Saccharomyces cerevisiae S288C: one gene and its partner. The protein of the gene in region 2 binds, or shares a complex with, the protein of the main gene of each other region. Each region holds a gene or a part of one and is shown on either strand. Other genes may lie near its edges. A codon is read from its position in the direction of its gene.

Region 1 (6,375 bases), on a different chromosome or scaffold from region 2:
CTCGTGATCTAAACTCTTTTAGGTTAGTTTTCGTTGGAGGCAGTGGTCTTAAGACGATGGTGAAAGAAAGGACTTATTTGTAGAAGGATTGTTTATTTAATCCTTGAACTAAACAAATGACAAACTCAGGTCTCTAGCGTTCCTGTTCGTGGCCTTTAATAACTTGATGGCAATGGTAGAAAGACACACCTGCGTTATATAAGTTTAGTTTTCCCTTCTTTTCCTTTCTCATCCCCTCGTGAAGCGACTCGGCCCCTTTGGTCAGAAAATTCAAGGTGATACAAGTCGTCGTCCGTGACATAGGATCAGGAATCACAATCATCACATTGCACTCTCGTTCTTTAAATTATGTATGAGATTTGATTCTATATAGCTACTTGGTGGCGGTATCCTCTCCTGGACCCAACTTGTATAATGCGTCTAGGAATCCCACAATCAATTTGTCTGCAACGCCAGCAGTTTTAACGCTCCCGGCGACACCATATAGAGCGCTAGTTCCGTCTGGGGATGGTTTAGAATTTGATTCGCTCTTCAACTCTTGCACGGTAGTACGTAAAATGTCGCAGATCTCATCCACAACATGAGCGCTCAATCTCGTGAAGGCCATGTGTAGTGCAACCGGCTTTTGTAGGGCATTGAAATGCCAGCCTTTCTTGGACAACCTGTCAGATAGTTCGTGTATGTTCAAGGTCTTTGAAGAAAATGAAATGACTGAATATCTAGGGTTGCCCATTATATTCAGGTCTGGAATGTTTTCCTGGATGTATTTTTTAAACTTCATTGCTGCACCGACTATTTCTTGGCACGACTCAATGTACCCATTTTCACCCATGTTGACCATAGTGGCCCAACAACCTACGACAATAGCACCAGGCCTGGACCCTGCTAATGTAGGAGAGCCATATAACCCGCCAGTCCAAGCAGGATTTACGTAATACTGATGCATTCGTAAGTCGCTGTTTCTATACATTATAACTGACGAGCCTTTTGGTGCAAATCCATATTTATGAGTGTCACATGATATTGAGGTGACTCCCGGGACTCTAAAGTCAAGTAATGGCAGATTTTTGTAACCAGCCTTTTCCATAAATGAAACAATAAAGGAACCTAGACAACTGTCGACGTGTAAAGGAAGTTTATATTTTTGTGCTATTTTACCCAATCCTTCAATATCATCGGCAATACCATGAGGAAAGTTTGGAGCGGAACCGACCAGTAAAATTGTGTTCTTATTGATGAATTTTTTCACTTTTCCCAGGTCCACTTGATATGTCGTTGGATCTAGCTCCACGTGGCGTAGCTTCATGCCAAAGTAATAAGCAGCTTTGTCAAACCCAGCATGTGCAGTTACGGGAGCAATTATTTCTGGTTCGGTGATTCCACGATGATGAAGGGCATACATTTTAGCGCTCAGACATGCTAAAAGCAAGGATTCTGTACCACCTGAAGTTGTGGTACCACAACCTGTATCAGAAGGGGCATTAAACATTCTTAAAACCATAGAAACCACTTCGGATTCCATTTTACGTACGGCAGGAAAGACATCGGGATGTAATTGATTGGCAACGCAATATTTTTCGTATGCGATTGTTTGTAAGTGGATCAAATCATCACCACCGTGGTAAACGGCACCAGAGACCTTTCCTTCCTTCCATTGGGTATGTGGTATCAAGTCGTTCAATTTATTTAGCTCTTCAATAACATCATCCTGAGGTATCCCATTGGATGGCAACTGTGGGAAATTCATTAACTGAGAGTCCGATCTAATTAGTTCGTCTTCGATCGATTGTTTGACCTTTGTGACTTCCTTTTCTACGGTACCCCTCAAAAATGGTGAGTCCAATAACCAACGAAACAATCTTCTGGAACTATGCTCGTATGTTCTCACTGCTAACCTCACCGGCCCATAAACTTTCAACAGATAAAAAAAATTACTTATTAGCTTGTAACAAAAGATCACAAACAAATAATCCTTCAACATGTTGTACCATGGGGTATTTCTGAGGTAACCATGTATGGCTATTTTTAATTCGTTGATGGTTAGAATCATAAACTGGGCAAAGTCGCCTTCTTCCCTTAGTAAATGAATTGGCATGCCATACCAACCATTAATTGATACTGTTTTATTTGATACTCCACTCATTGTATTAGATGGAAAAATCCCTTTACAGAAGCTAGCCTACTTGCTCGGTAAAGAGGATCTGGAATAGTTATAACGGTTGGAGAGGCAAATTGAGGGTTTTATTTATATGTGTACTGAAAATATACCAATTTTTTCAATCAAAAAACCCCGATGCGGCCGGCCGGTATATATGGTAACTAACATGAAATAATGCACCAGAGTAGTTGATGAAATGTTTCTGAAGAATAAGGCGATAAACGATAGGCAACTGTGTAGATTTAAATATTTGGCCAATCTCTATGTACTTTCTCTTTTTTTCCAGTGTCAAATACTTGTAGAAACAGTCTAATTCATTAAGAAAGTATATAAAATCTCTCTATATTATACAGGCTACTTCTTTTAGGAAACGTCACATTCATGTGTAATTAGGGGTATTGGATCTTGTTGATCTAAACCGTGTACCATTTGCGGCAGCTTTTTCCACCTGGACGTTGTTTTTGTTTTTTAAGTCGTACTGTCGGTTCATTAAGGTTATGTAATTCTTTAAGAATTTGTTTCTTGCTTTAAGCGACTGAAAATCATTCTGTAAACGTTCCAGCTCCTTCTTCAAGCTTTCTGTGGAAAATTTAGTCAGTGGACCATTAACTTCGTTTTCTAAAGACTTCATTGATTCTTGCAAAATTTTCAATGTTTGCGCGGACTCTGCGGCTTTTGAAGATTCTATTTGATATTTGGAACGTAGTTCATCATTGAGCTTTGATTTTTCCGCATTTGCTTGTTGGAGTTCCTTTAACTTATTAAAAAGAGTCGCATTTTTGTCTATGTATTCCTTCAACTTGTCTGCTAAGGCAGATCCCTCTTCCAGATGATTTTCTGATGAAATAGTATTCGAGGGCAATTTGTTGAAATTCTCTAGTTCCTGCCTATTTTTCAGTAAGTGATTTATTTTATTTTGTAGCTTGGTAGATTCTGTCATCGCATGCTTCAACCTTTTTTCAGAGTCATTAATGGATTTTTCCACTTCTTGTTTTTTCTTGAATGTAAGACCAACAGAATTCTTTATTTCGTCCAACTGGTTCTGCCGTTGAGTTTCGTTTAATCGTTTCTCGTACAGTGGAACAGTGCCTTTGGCATACTCGTCCTGTATATCTCGCAATCTTATGACGGCTCTATGCATTAACTCTGTTTGGTAGGTTTTGATATCCAATGGTCCGTCCCAAAGGGGCAATTCTGTAGACGAATATTGCAATTTTGTTAATTGAGGCTGCCAAAACCCAGAATCGCTCGAATCTTTGGAGGCCTCATCTAACGTTATCAAATCCAAAACCGGTAAAATGTTATTGCAATCTTTCCCCTCTAAACAACACTTTACCAATTTAATATAATCAATCTCACAGTTGTTCACCGGAGCATTCCTTGCTTGCAAAAAATATAGTAAGGAGGATTTGATCTCTTCATATTCTTGGCTATCATCGACATGACCGTTATTGCTCAAATGCGACGATTTAACACTTGAATTCTTGATTTCAGAATCTAACAAGTAATGATCTGGAGAATTTTGTACTAATAGCTTTATTATCGGAATATCCTTATTGGCATTATTCCTCAGTACCTGCAAAGCGGGCAATTCAACTTCCAACATTGGATCAAAACTAATTATCATATCTATATCATAGTTAGCCAATAGGTATTGATCGTGTTTGAGATGTTTGGTAGTGGCTAAAAACAGCCAGTCATCCGTATTTATTTTTCTTTTTTTCAGGTTTCTTTTCACTGAGTAATCATAGTCGTCCTTAGAATAACCTGTATAAGAGGTCGAATTGGAATTAGAGCTTGTGCTGCTTACAGAATTTGGTGTTCCATCTTTATTTATTGTGGAATCGACCGTAGGTAGATTAGGGAATTTGTGTTTCTCATTATAAAGAGATGTACCGGAAAGTCTCTTGGTTCTGAATTTCTTGCCTAATATTAAACCTTCTAGCAAATCTAATTCCTTTATGCTGTGTGCGATGATGGCACATTTTATAACTTCGTTTGGTGAGCCCTCTCTGTCTCTAAAGCATATCGAATTAATGAGCTGGTTGAGAACTTGAAACTTGTGGCTCCCAGCAATAGAGCTTTCCGTGGGCTCCATTCTCAAAAGCTGTCGAGGCATATAATGGTCCACTAGAAGGGAAGGATGATTGGCTATTGCTCTTATGTTTGAATCAAAGATATAGGTTAATTGCCTTTGTGATAGCGTTGGATACGGATGTGTTTCAGGGCCAGCAGGTAAGCCGGAAGGCTTGTTCACTGCATCTGCCTGTGGTTCTCCTATTATGCTTGCTTTGAATGACTTGGCGTGCAGGGATATCAAAATTTCTGATAAATCCTTTTGAAATTGGGTTAGCGTTACAGGTAAGTAATAGACTTTTAGTTTCTTAGAATTTTTCCTACTCATGTCGATAGTATTGTATCTATTTTCTTTATTTTTCACACACTAATGAAGCCAAATACTTTTACTACTACTTAAACGCCTTCAATCGTTCTCAATTCTGTCTTTTTAAAAAAAAAAATTTTTTGTTACCTCTCCTTTCTCGATGTTCTACTAGTTGTGGTTACTCTTCTGTGCCGCAATTATGTTATTTTAGTAGGACTGTATTTTTTTTTTTTCTTTTGTTGTCGCTTTTCTTATATATCTATATAACTATTTATTTGGGCTGTAGAGAACTTTCTCAGGAAATATAAACTAGGAGACATTCGTGTAAGCAATGAACCATATACGCCACGGTTAAATTTCAGACGTGCATAAAGTTGATGATTCCTGTCAAGTTAACGACTCATTTTGTACGGTAGACGGGAAAAATACATTTCCTACAATATTCTCTTTTCCGATATTCAGATACTAAAGGAAAAAGTGAAAGTAAGGCTATATGATGAAATGTAGAGGAAACGGAAAGAGGAGATCCTGTGAGGAATAAATAGAGAAACAGCGACGGAAAAATCGATATTTCAGGGCAAAAGCATGAAGGTAAACCATTCAATTTCAAGATTCCGCCCCGCTTCATGGTTCGAAAAGACAAAGATAATCCCACCCCAGGTATACATCTTTAGGAACCTAGAGTATGGACAAGTACTATATTCTCAATTTCCCAACTTTTCGCAAACACAGGTGGATAAGCTGTTTGTGAGACCAAACTGGAGCAACAGAAAGCCATCATTGAGAAGGGACATCTGGAAATGTATGTGTGTAGTGAACTTGCAAAACTATAAGCAGAGTGTCCATCTATACCAGAACCTCTGCCGGTTGAGATACCTCCGTGATGTGGCACAGCGTAAGGAGAGTGACAAGCTAAGAAAAAAGGACTCTAACGGGCACGTCTGGTATAGCGGACAGTATAGACCTACATATTGTCAAGAGGCAGTGGCAGACTTGCGGGAGTCCTTGTTGAAGGTGTTTGAGAATGCCACACCAGCAGAAAAGCAGACAGTACCCGCCAAAAAACCGTCCATATACTGGGAGGACCCATGGAGGATGGGTGACAAGGACAAACATTGGAATTACGATGTGTTCAATGCTCTGGGGCTGGAACACAAGCTTATTCAGCGTGTGGGGAACATTGCGAGGGAAGAAAGCGTTATTCTGAAGGAACTAGCTAAGCTCGAATCACATCCTACAGAGCAGACGGAAGTGTCTTCCCAGTAGAACGCTTCGTCATTAGATATACAAATGCAGGTAGAAAAAAAAACATATATAAGCTCATGTAAATAGTGCAATGCAAACCTTTCTGCCAAATCCCGTTCCACGGAAAAACACGTGCTGTGCGGGTATCCGCAAAAAGAAGATAGGTCAAAACAGGAATACACAGGGCTAGTCTTTATTACTGCCGCTGCTGCTGCTGCCGCTGCTACTGCTGCTGTTGTGTGACTTGAAACGCGTTTTATCCTCCTCACCTTATCGTCATTTCTCTATCTTTTTCACTTGCACAGCTTAATAAGCTTTTCGACCTCCTGTTTCCTATTGTCTTATTCCCTCACCCCGCGTCCTTCTTCGGGCAGTCGCGCTTTTCTCCGGCTTCTGCGGTTTTTCTTAGTCTTTCCGCACCAATTTTCACAGAAAAATTTCTTTTTGGGTTACTAAAAATTTCTTGTTTGCTATTGTCTTGATTTATTTCACTCTTTCTTCATCCTGCTGCGCTGTTGTTGCCGCATTTTTCGTTTCGTGTTTTGGGATTATAAAAGAAGTAACGATTTACATATCTTCTATTCCCTTG
Region 2 (6,404 bases):
TTGTAGCGGTGGCATGGACTCGCTTTCAATGCTATGGGATATAAGATCCGGAAGTAAGGTGATGACACTCGCAGGACACTCAAAGCCTATTTACACCGTAGCTTGGTCACCAAACGGGTATCAAGTAGCCACTGGTGGTGGTGATGGAATCATTAATGTTTGGGACATCAGAAAACGGGATGAAGGCCAACTAAATCAAATATTGGCGCATCGTAACATCGTTACGCAGGTAAGGTTTTCAAAGGAAGACGGCGGAAAGAAACTTGTCTCTTGTGGCTATGATAATTTGATCAATGTGTATAGTAGTGATACGTGGTTAAAAATGGGAAGTTTAGCAGGCCACACTGATAAAATTATTAGCTTGGATATTTCGAATAATTCTCATTTTTTAGTGAGCGGCGGATGGGATAGGTCTATCAAGCTCTGGAATTGATTGTGTAAAGAAATGTATTTAGTATTTTTGAAACTAACGTTTTATTAACACTGCATTATTTATTTAATTATACATTTCCTGGTTTTTTTGCCCTGGATTTTTTTTTTGTGTTACCATTTTGAGTACGAACTCGTGGAATTGTTAAGTTTTCCAAGTTGTCCATCGTCTTCGATAACTGTCCCACTAACTCCTCGTTTAGATCATTCTCAAGCTTTAATTCCTTTTTCAAAAAGCCAATTTTCTCATTCAATTCTTTTGTAGAGATTTCAGACTTTTCGAATTTCAATTTCAACTCACTTTCTAATCCATTTTGTTTCTCATTAAGTTTGTGTGTCTCCTCCTCATTTTCCCTTATAGCATCAACGGCTCTTTTGATTTCTTGTTCCATATATTTCTTCTCAGTATCCCTTGATACACTTACCCTTTCTTCTTTCTCGATCTCGTCTTGTACATTGTCTGTTTTAACGAAAGCGTCTTTTAACTTTGATAATGTTTCACCTTGGGCCATCAAACTTCCCTTTAAAGTTTCAATGTCTTTTTCCAGTGTTTCGATTTGGGAAAACTTCAAATTGTTTTCAACTTCTAGTTCATGCGACCTATTTAAGTTTTCATTATTGGTTCGCAATACGGTTTCATATTCTTTTATAATTTTCTCATCTTCATTTGAGAAAAATTTCAGATGATCATTTTGCAAATCATCAAGGCAAGAATAATCATCCAGCTCCTGTTTCTGAACGCAAATATCCATATACACTTCTCCCATTGATTGAATCAGTTTGTGTGTTATGATTCCACTTGATAAGTGGTAATTTACATTCGAGGAGTTGTCAGCTGTAGTAATACCTGTTAGTTGTGTCATGTCTTGTTTTAAAGGATTTGTATAATAATCGTTCTTTAATCTTTTGGTAGAGTAAAAACTTGGAGTAATATTATCCTCAATTCCGGCAACAGTTGAAGATGCTGCCTTATTAGCACCATGGCGTCCTCTTTTTTTGGAACAGTTGGAAAAAGCATCCTCTAGTTGATCATCTGACTTTTTGAAATGTACTTCCGTTAACAAAGACCTTTCTACATCCATGGAAGTATATTGTTTTAAAGGGTAAATATCTGGTAATGGCCACGGTACTGTTGGGTTTTCCAACCATTCTACTAAATAATGCAGCTTTTGTGAATAAATGGGCCTCAAATCAGGTGGAAGTGTGCCCAGTCGATCTCTTAAAATTACCATAGCTGCGGTAACGTTCTCCAAGTATTCTCTACTGTTCTTGTCAAATTTTTTACCAAAGAATAACCTACAATGATCAATTGAATTAATGGCCACTAGCCTAACAATTGGAGCATATCTTTCTAAACCCTTCCTCTCCCTCTTATATTGCAACAAATATTGAATATCTTTTTGACTTGTATCCACTGTAGTATCTAAGCAGATCAGCATGTCGAATCGAGCCTTGGATTTTATCGGATATTTTGTGAAATTAATTCCTTCAGAAGAAAACAAATGAACTGTACACGAGAAGTCATTTGCCTTTTGTTTTGACTTGATAGAATGACCGTCATATCTTTTGATATGCACCTTATTTCCCAATAGTAAGGCTTCCAGTAAGTCCATTGTTCTCCCAGGTCTACAAACAATGGCCGTTTCAGTTTCATATTCTTGAACAAGATTTATGAGATCTCTCAAAACGCTGAACTTTCCACTATTTTCCGCTAAATGTGCAGGAACATCACGAGTTATTAACGATTTAGGCATATAATGATCTATTAGTAGGTATGGATGGGTTGCTACCAGTGAACCATTTAAACACATGGTCTTCATAGATTCGAGAATGACGTCCTCTTTGTAGTGTGACGTTTCGAAGTATCTCAAGATATCTGAGTAGTGTAATGATACTATTTGATCCGTGAGTTCTTTTTGATAAAGCGACATTGTAGTTGGCAGCCAATAATCACCGGAAGTATTTCCTGAGATTCCCAGAGTAGTAGCATCAACAATTGTAGGTATTGGTTTCGTGTCTAAAATGCGTAGTAAATCCATACTAAAGGGCAATTAGTTTGTGCTTCTAACTTTCCTTTTTATCATTTTTATAGTCTAAAGTATTTCTTCTCTCTATTGTCTTTAATTGAAACTTTGGAAAACCGCGGTGTTATGGATACTAGAACACTAATGTTATTTTTTGCAGTTATCAATTAAAGTAAAAGAAGAACAAACTGAGTGGATTAAATCAGTAACTATGGATATGAAAGTAGAAAAATTAAGTGAAGATGAAATTGCACTGTATGATAGACAGATTCGTCTATGGGGAATGACAGCACAGGCCAATATGAGATCAGCAAAAGTATTGCTGATCAATCTTGGAGCAATTGGTTCTGAAATTACCAAAAGTATCGTCCTTAGTGGTATAGGGCATTTAACCATATTGGATGGACACATGGTGACTGAAGAAGATTTAGGATCCCAGTTCTTCATAGGCTCTGAAGATGTTGGCCAATGGAAGATTGATGCAACAAAAGAGAGAATTCAAGACTTGAACCCCCGTATAGAGTTGAACTTTGATAAGCAGGATTTGCAAGAAAAGGACGAAGAGTTCTTTCAGCAGTTTGATTTAGTCGTGGCTACAGAAATGCAGATTGATGAAGCAATCAAAATTAACACATTAACTCGAAAACTAAACATTCCATTATATGTTGCTGGTTCTAATGGATTGTTCGCTTATGTTTTTATTGATTTGATTGAATTCATTTCAGAGGATGAAAAATTGCAAAGTGTAAGACCTACCACCGTTGGTCCCATTTCAAGCAATAGGAGCATTATAGAAGTTACTACTAGAAAAGATGAAGAAGATGAAAAAAAAACATATGAACGAATCAAGACCAAGAACTGCTATAGGCCACTGAACGAAGTTTTAAGCACAGCAACATTAAAGGAAAAAATGACGCAAAGACAGTTAAAAAGAGTCACTAGTATCTTGCCGTTAACCCTGTCCTTATTGCAATATGGTCTCAACCAAAAGGGCAAGGCCATAAGCTTTGAACAAATGAAAAGAGATGCGGCCGTATGGTGTGAAAATCTGGGTGTACCAGCAACAGTGGTAAAGGACGATTACATACAACAGTTTATCAAACAGAAAGGTATCGAGTTTGCTCCTGTCGCGGCCATTATAGGGGGTGCTGTAGCGCAGGATGTCATTAACATTCTAGGTAAAAGGCTATCTCCATTAAATAATTTCATTGTTTTTGATGGTATTACATTAGACATGCCACTTTTTGAGTTTTAGATATATACATACCTACTATACTGTAGTTTCAGCCAAAAAAAATAATAAAAAAAGCATAATTGGAGGCAGTAAAGCATTATAGTCATACACAATAATAATAATAATAATAATAATAATAATAATAATAATAGTAGTAGTAGTAATGGTAATAAAAAAGTTAGAAAAGAAATTAGATACAGATATTCGTAGTAAAGGCCACGCAGTACAAAAAAGACGGAGAATATATTATATAAAATCCTCTACTCTTTTCGTTCAGGTCCAAAGGAAAATTCTTGCACGCGCAATGGACTGAACAGGCCTTATATTATACAAAAAGCCTAATAACGATCAAATAAAACAAAAGAAAGCCGTTGCTCCTATGCCTGACCAGAGACGGCTACTTGTTGTAAGTGAGTCATGAAATTTTGTAAGGAAACATCATCTGTTAAGACAATTGTAGATCCTCCGCGCGCCATGTCTTGATAGTTATCGGAAGGATTCAATTTAGATAACAAGAATCTGGCTTGAGAACCACCGGCTTCAGTATCAATGAATCTTGGTAGCGGGAACCTATCTACTAACAATTCTGCGGCTTCTAATTTTGGCTCTTCAAGAAGAGCTTTGAAATCTGCGTACTGTGGATCGTCTTGGTAACCGGCTTTTCTCCATTGAGCGATTTGCTCACCGTGGTATATTAAGATGAAGAAAAATGTATCTAATAATAGAATGGTATTGGGTTTGACGGAGATAGAGTCTAATAATACCGGTTGTGGATCGTCCTCCATTGAGAAAGAAGTTAGAGTTGGTTGAATCATGATTAAAGAATTAGTCGTATCCTCTCTTGTGAAAATATGTCTATAAAATGCAGTTTCATCCGGAGAATTGTTAAAGACACTTAAGAATTGGGATCTTCTTAAATAATAGGTAAATTGAGGATACAGTGAGAAATTTGGAGCCAACCTGAAAGATTGAGGATCATCTTTATTATAGTCGGCGTACTTTTGACATAGCTTAATCAAAGTTCTGTCTAACCATCTAATAACATCTGCACCATCATCGGTTTCAGCCTTGTGAACAGCAATACGAGCCATCAAAACGGCAGCAGCTTCTTGATCGAAAGAAGCTGCAATGGCAGGAGTACCGAAGGGCAAAAGCTGGTTTGCGACCGTGGTGACTCTGATACGGTTGGTACCAGAGGAGTGTTGATAAGTAGTGATGAATTGAGTATATGCTAGATGAGGTCTATCTGCTGAACCAGGGGCAGACATCATTGGGTTAGAATTAGCCGCAGTGTTTGCAATTTCAAAGAAAATCGCATACGAGTGATAAGGCGATAAGGAAGCCATCTTCCAGGTGGACGTTGCACCTATACCGATTTCAGATTCACTGATGTTGTTAGCGTCTGTCTTCTTTACAGCAGAAGCATGCCCAATCAAACCTTGTACCTTCAAGTCTTTACTTGTCTTGACTGCCATATTACCATTGAAAGCCATCTTCAAATACCCTTCTTCATCCTTGGCAAACAATCTCAAGTATGATTGCTTAAAAATCGCGGTAGAGAAGGCATCGGTTAGCAACAACACACCTCCAGTAGAGTCGGTCAACTGTTTCATTTCAGACATACCGATTTGATCGTAACAACCGGCAAAAATATCAACAGTGTGTCCATTGGCGGCAACTCTTTGTGCAATCTGGTTGTAAAACTTACAGGCCTTCTTGTAATGTTGCGCGTGATCAGAATCGATGTCGTGGTGGGATCTTAAGGGATCTTTTAACTCTGAGTTAACAATCAAACCTGGGGCCACGGTGCCTGGACCGGAGGCGAAAAGAATGATTCTTGCTGGGATGTTCTTATAGCAGCCCTGTAAAAGCAAAGATGCAATGTTCAAAGCGGAACCTGTGGCCCTTAATGGCCTATGACCCGCTGGAACAGACCATTGGTCTGGAGACAGATTTTCCAGTAATTGATTCAGTTTGAACTCGACCTGTTCCAAGGGCAGGAAGAACCTATTCAAAGAGAAGGGCGTAACTTTGTTCATGGCGTTCGGTAGATGAGATGCAGCACCGCCGGGGCCGGTAGGCTTTTGGCCGGTCAACATTTCCGTCAACGCTTCGAGCTGGTACTCCCTGTCTCCTCTGAACACGTTGCACCTGTCAATAGTTTCGCTGGACAGATCGTGCAATTGAACAACGTTTCCGTAAGTGATCAACCCAATCAGCGCGTTGGGAGGTAATAGAGACAAAGAAGTGATGATAGACTCCTTTAGCGAATCGAGGTTCTCGGTTTCCGAAGTCAAATCCACAACAAAGAAGAAAATGGGAGGAACGGTAACGGGCTTATTGGTGATGTACTCAATGGTGGTGGACTGTAACTCTAGCGGCATATTCTCCTGTGACAAGTTGGTGTACTGTGGAGGTAAATGGTTCCTGGAGTTACAGATGGGACAACTCCAGGACGAATTGCGCGGATCAATCACACAGTAAGGATTTAGAATCGACTTACAGTGTGGACCGGAACACACAACTGGATTGTATGGGGCAACGTTCAATTCGTCATACTCCTTCAAAGGTGTGTACAAACAGCCCACAGGGACGACGTTGCTGTTAGCGTCGCTTCTAGTAGAGGGAAACACGTTCCAGGTGAAACGGACCCCGTTGATGTCTTCATTAGTCTCGAAGTCCATGGCTAGAAAAGAGGAAGGGGAGGCAGGCGACAG

The links. The genes of interacting proteins can lie anywhere in the genome.
Region 1: the proteins of HDA3 (region 2) and HDA2 are in contact, whole or in part, in a cryo-EM structure (PDB 6Z6O), measured with the Saccharomyces cerevisiae proteins. Residues at the interface, in NP_015505.1 of Saccharomyces cerevisiae: Tyr129 (codon at 2,084), Glu130 (codon at 2,081), Lys170 (codon at 1,961), Asn172 (codon at 1,955), Asp173 (codon at 1,952), Phe188 (codon at 1,907), Pro192 (codon at 1,895), Lys196 (codon at 1,883), Arg198 (codon at 1,877), Lys214 (codon at 1,829), Tyr218 (codon at 1,817), Gln221 (codon at 1,808), Lys223 (codon at 1,802), Arg224 (codon at 1,799), Glu225 (codon at 1,796), Lys227 (codon at 1,790); in NP_010581.3 of Saccharomyces cerevisiae: Thr62 (codon at 4,379), His63 (codon at 4,376), Gln72 (codon at 4,349), Asp93 (codon at 4,286), His94 (codon at 4,283), Tyr95 (codon at 4,280), Arg98 (codon at 4,271), Thr171 (codon at 4,052), His245 (codon at 3,830), Lys247 (codon at 3,824), His248 (codon at 3,821), Asp249 (codon at 3,818), Ile414 (codon at 3,323), Lys415 (codon at 3,320), Gln418 (codon at 3,311), Lys605 (codon at 2,750), Phe606 (codon at 2,747).

Annotation. Positions count from the first base shown.
Region 1 is NC_001136.10:1,050,086-1,056,460, forward strand, and holds HDA2 (Hda2p), read right to left. Parts: upstream 4,563-6,375; coding exon 2,538-4,562; downstream 1-2,537. Other genes in the region: sphinganine-1-phosphate aldolase DPL1, read right to left, coding at 374-2,143; mitochondrial 54S ribosomal protein mL67 MHR1, read left to right, coding at 5,127-5,807. UniProt on the Saccharomyces cerevisiae protein: Required for activity of HDA1 histone deacetylase complex. The HDA1 histone deacetylase complex is responsible for the deacetylation of lysine residues on the N-terminal part of the core histones (H2A, H2B, H3 and H4).
Region 2 is NC_001148.4:893,297-899,700, forward strand, and holds HDA3 (Hda3p), read right to left. Parts: upstream 2,469-6,404; coding exon 501-2,468; downstream 1-500. Other genes in the region: U4/U6-U5 snRNP complex subunit PRP4, read left to right, coding at 1-433; E1 ubiquitin-activating protein AOS1, read left to right, coding at 2,665-3,708; GTPase-activating protein SEC23, read right to left, coding at 4,065-6,371. UniProt on the Saccharomyces cerevisiae protein: Required for activity of HDA1 histone deacetylase complex. The HDA1 histone deacetylase complex is responsible for the deacetylation of lysine residues on the N-terminal part of the core histones (H2A, H2B, H3 and H4).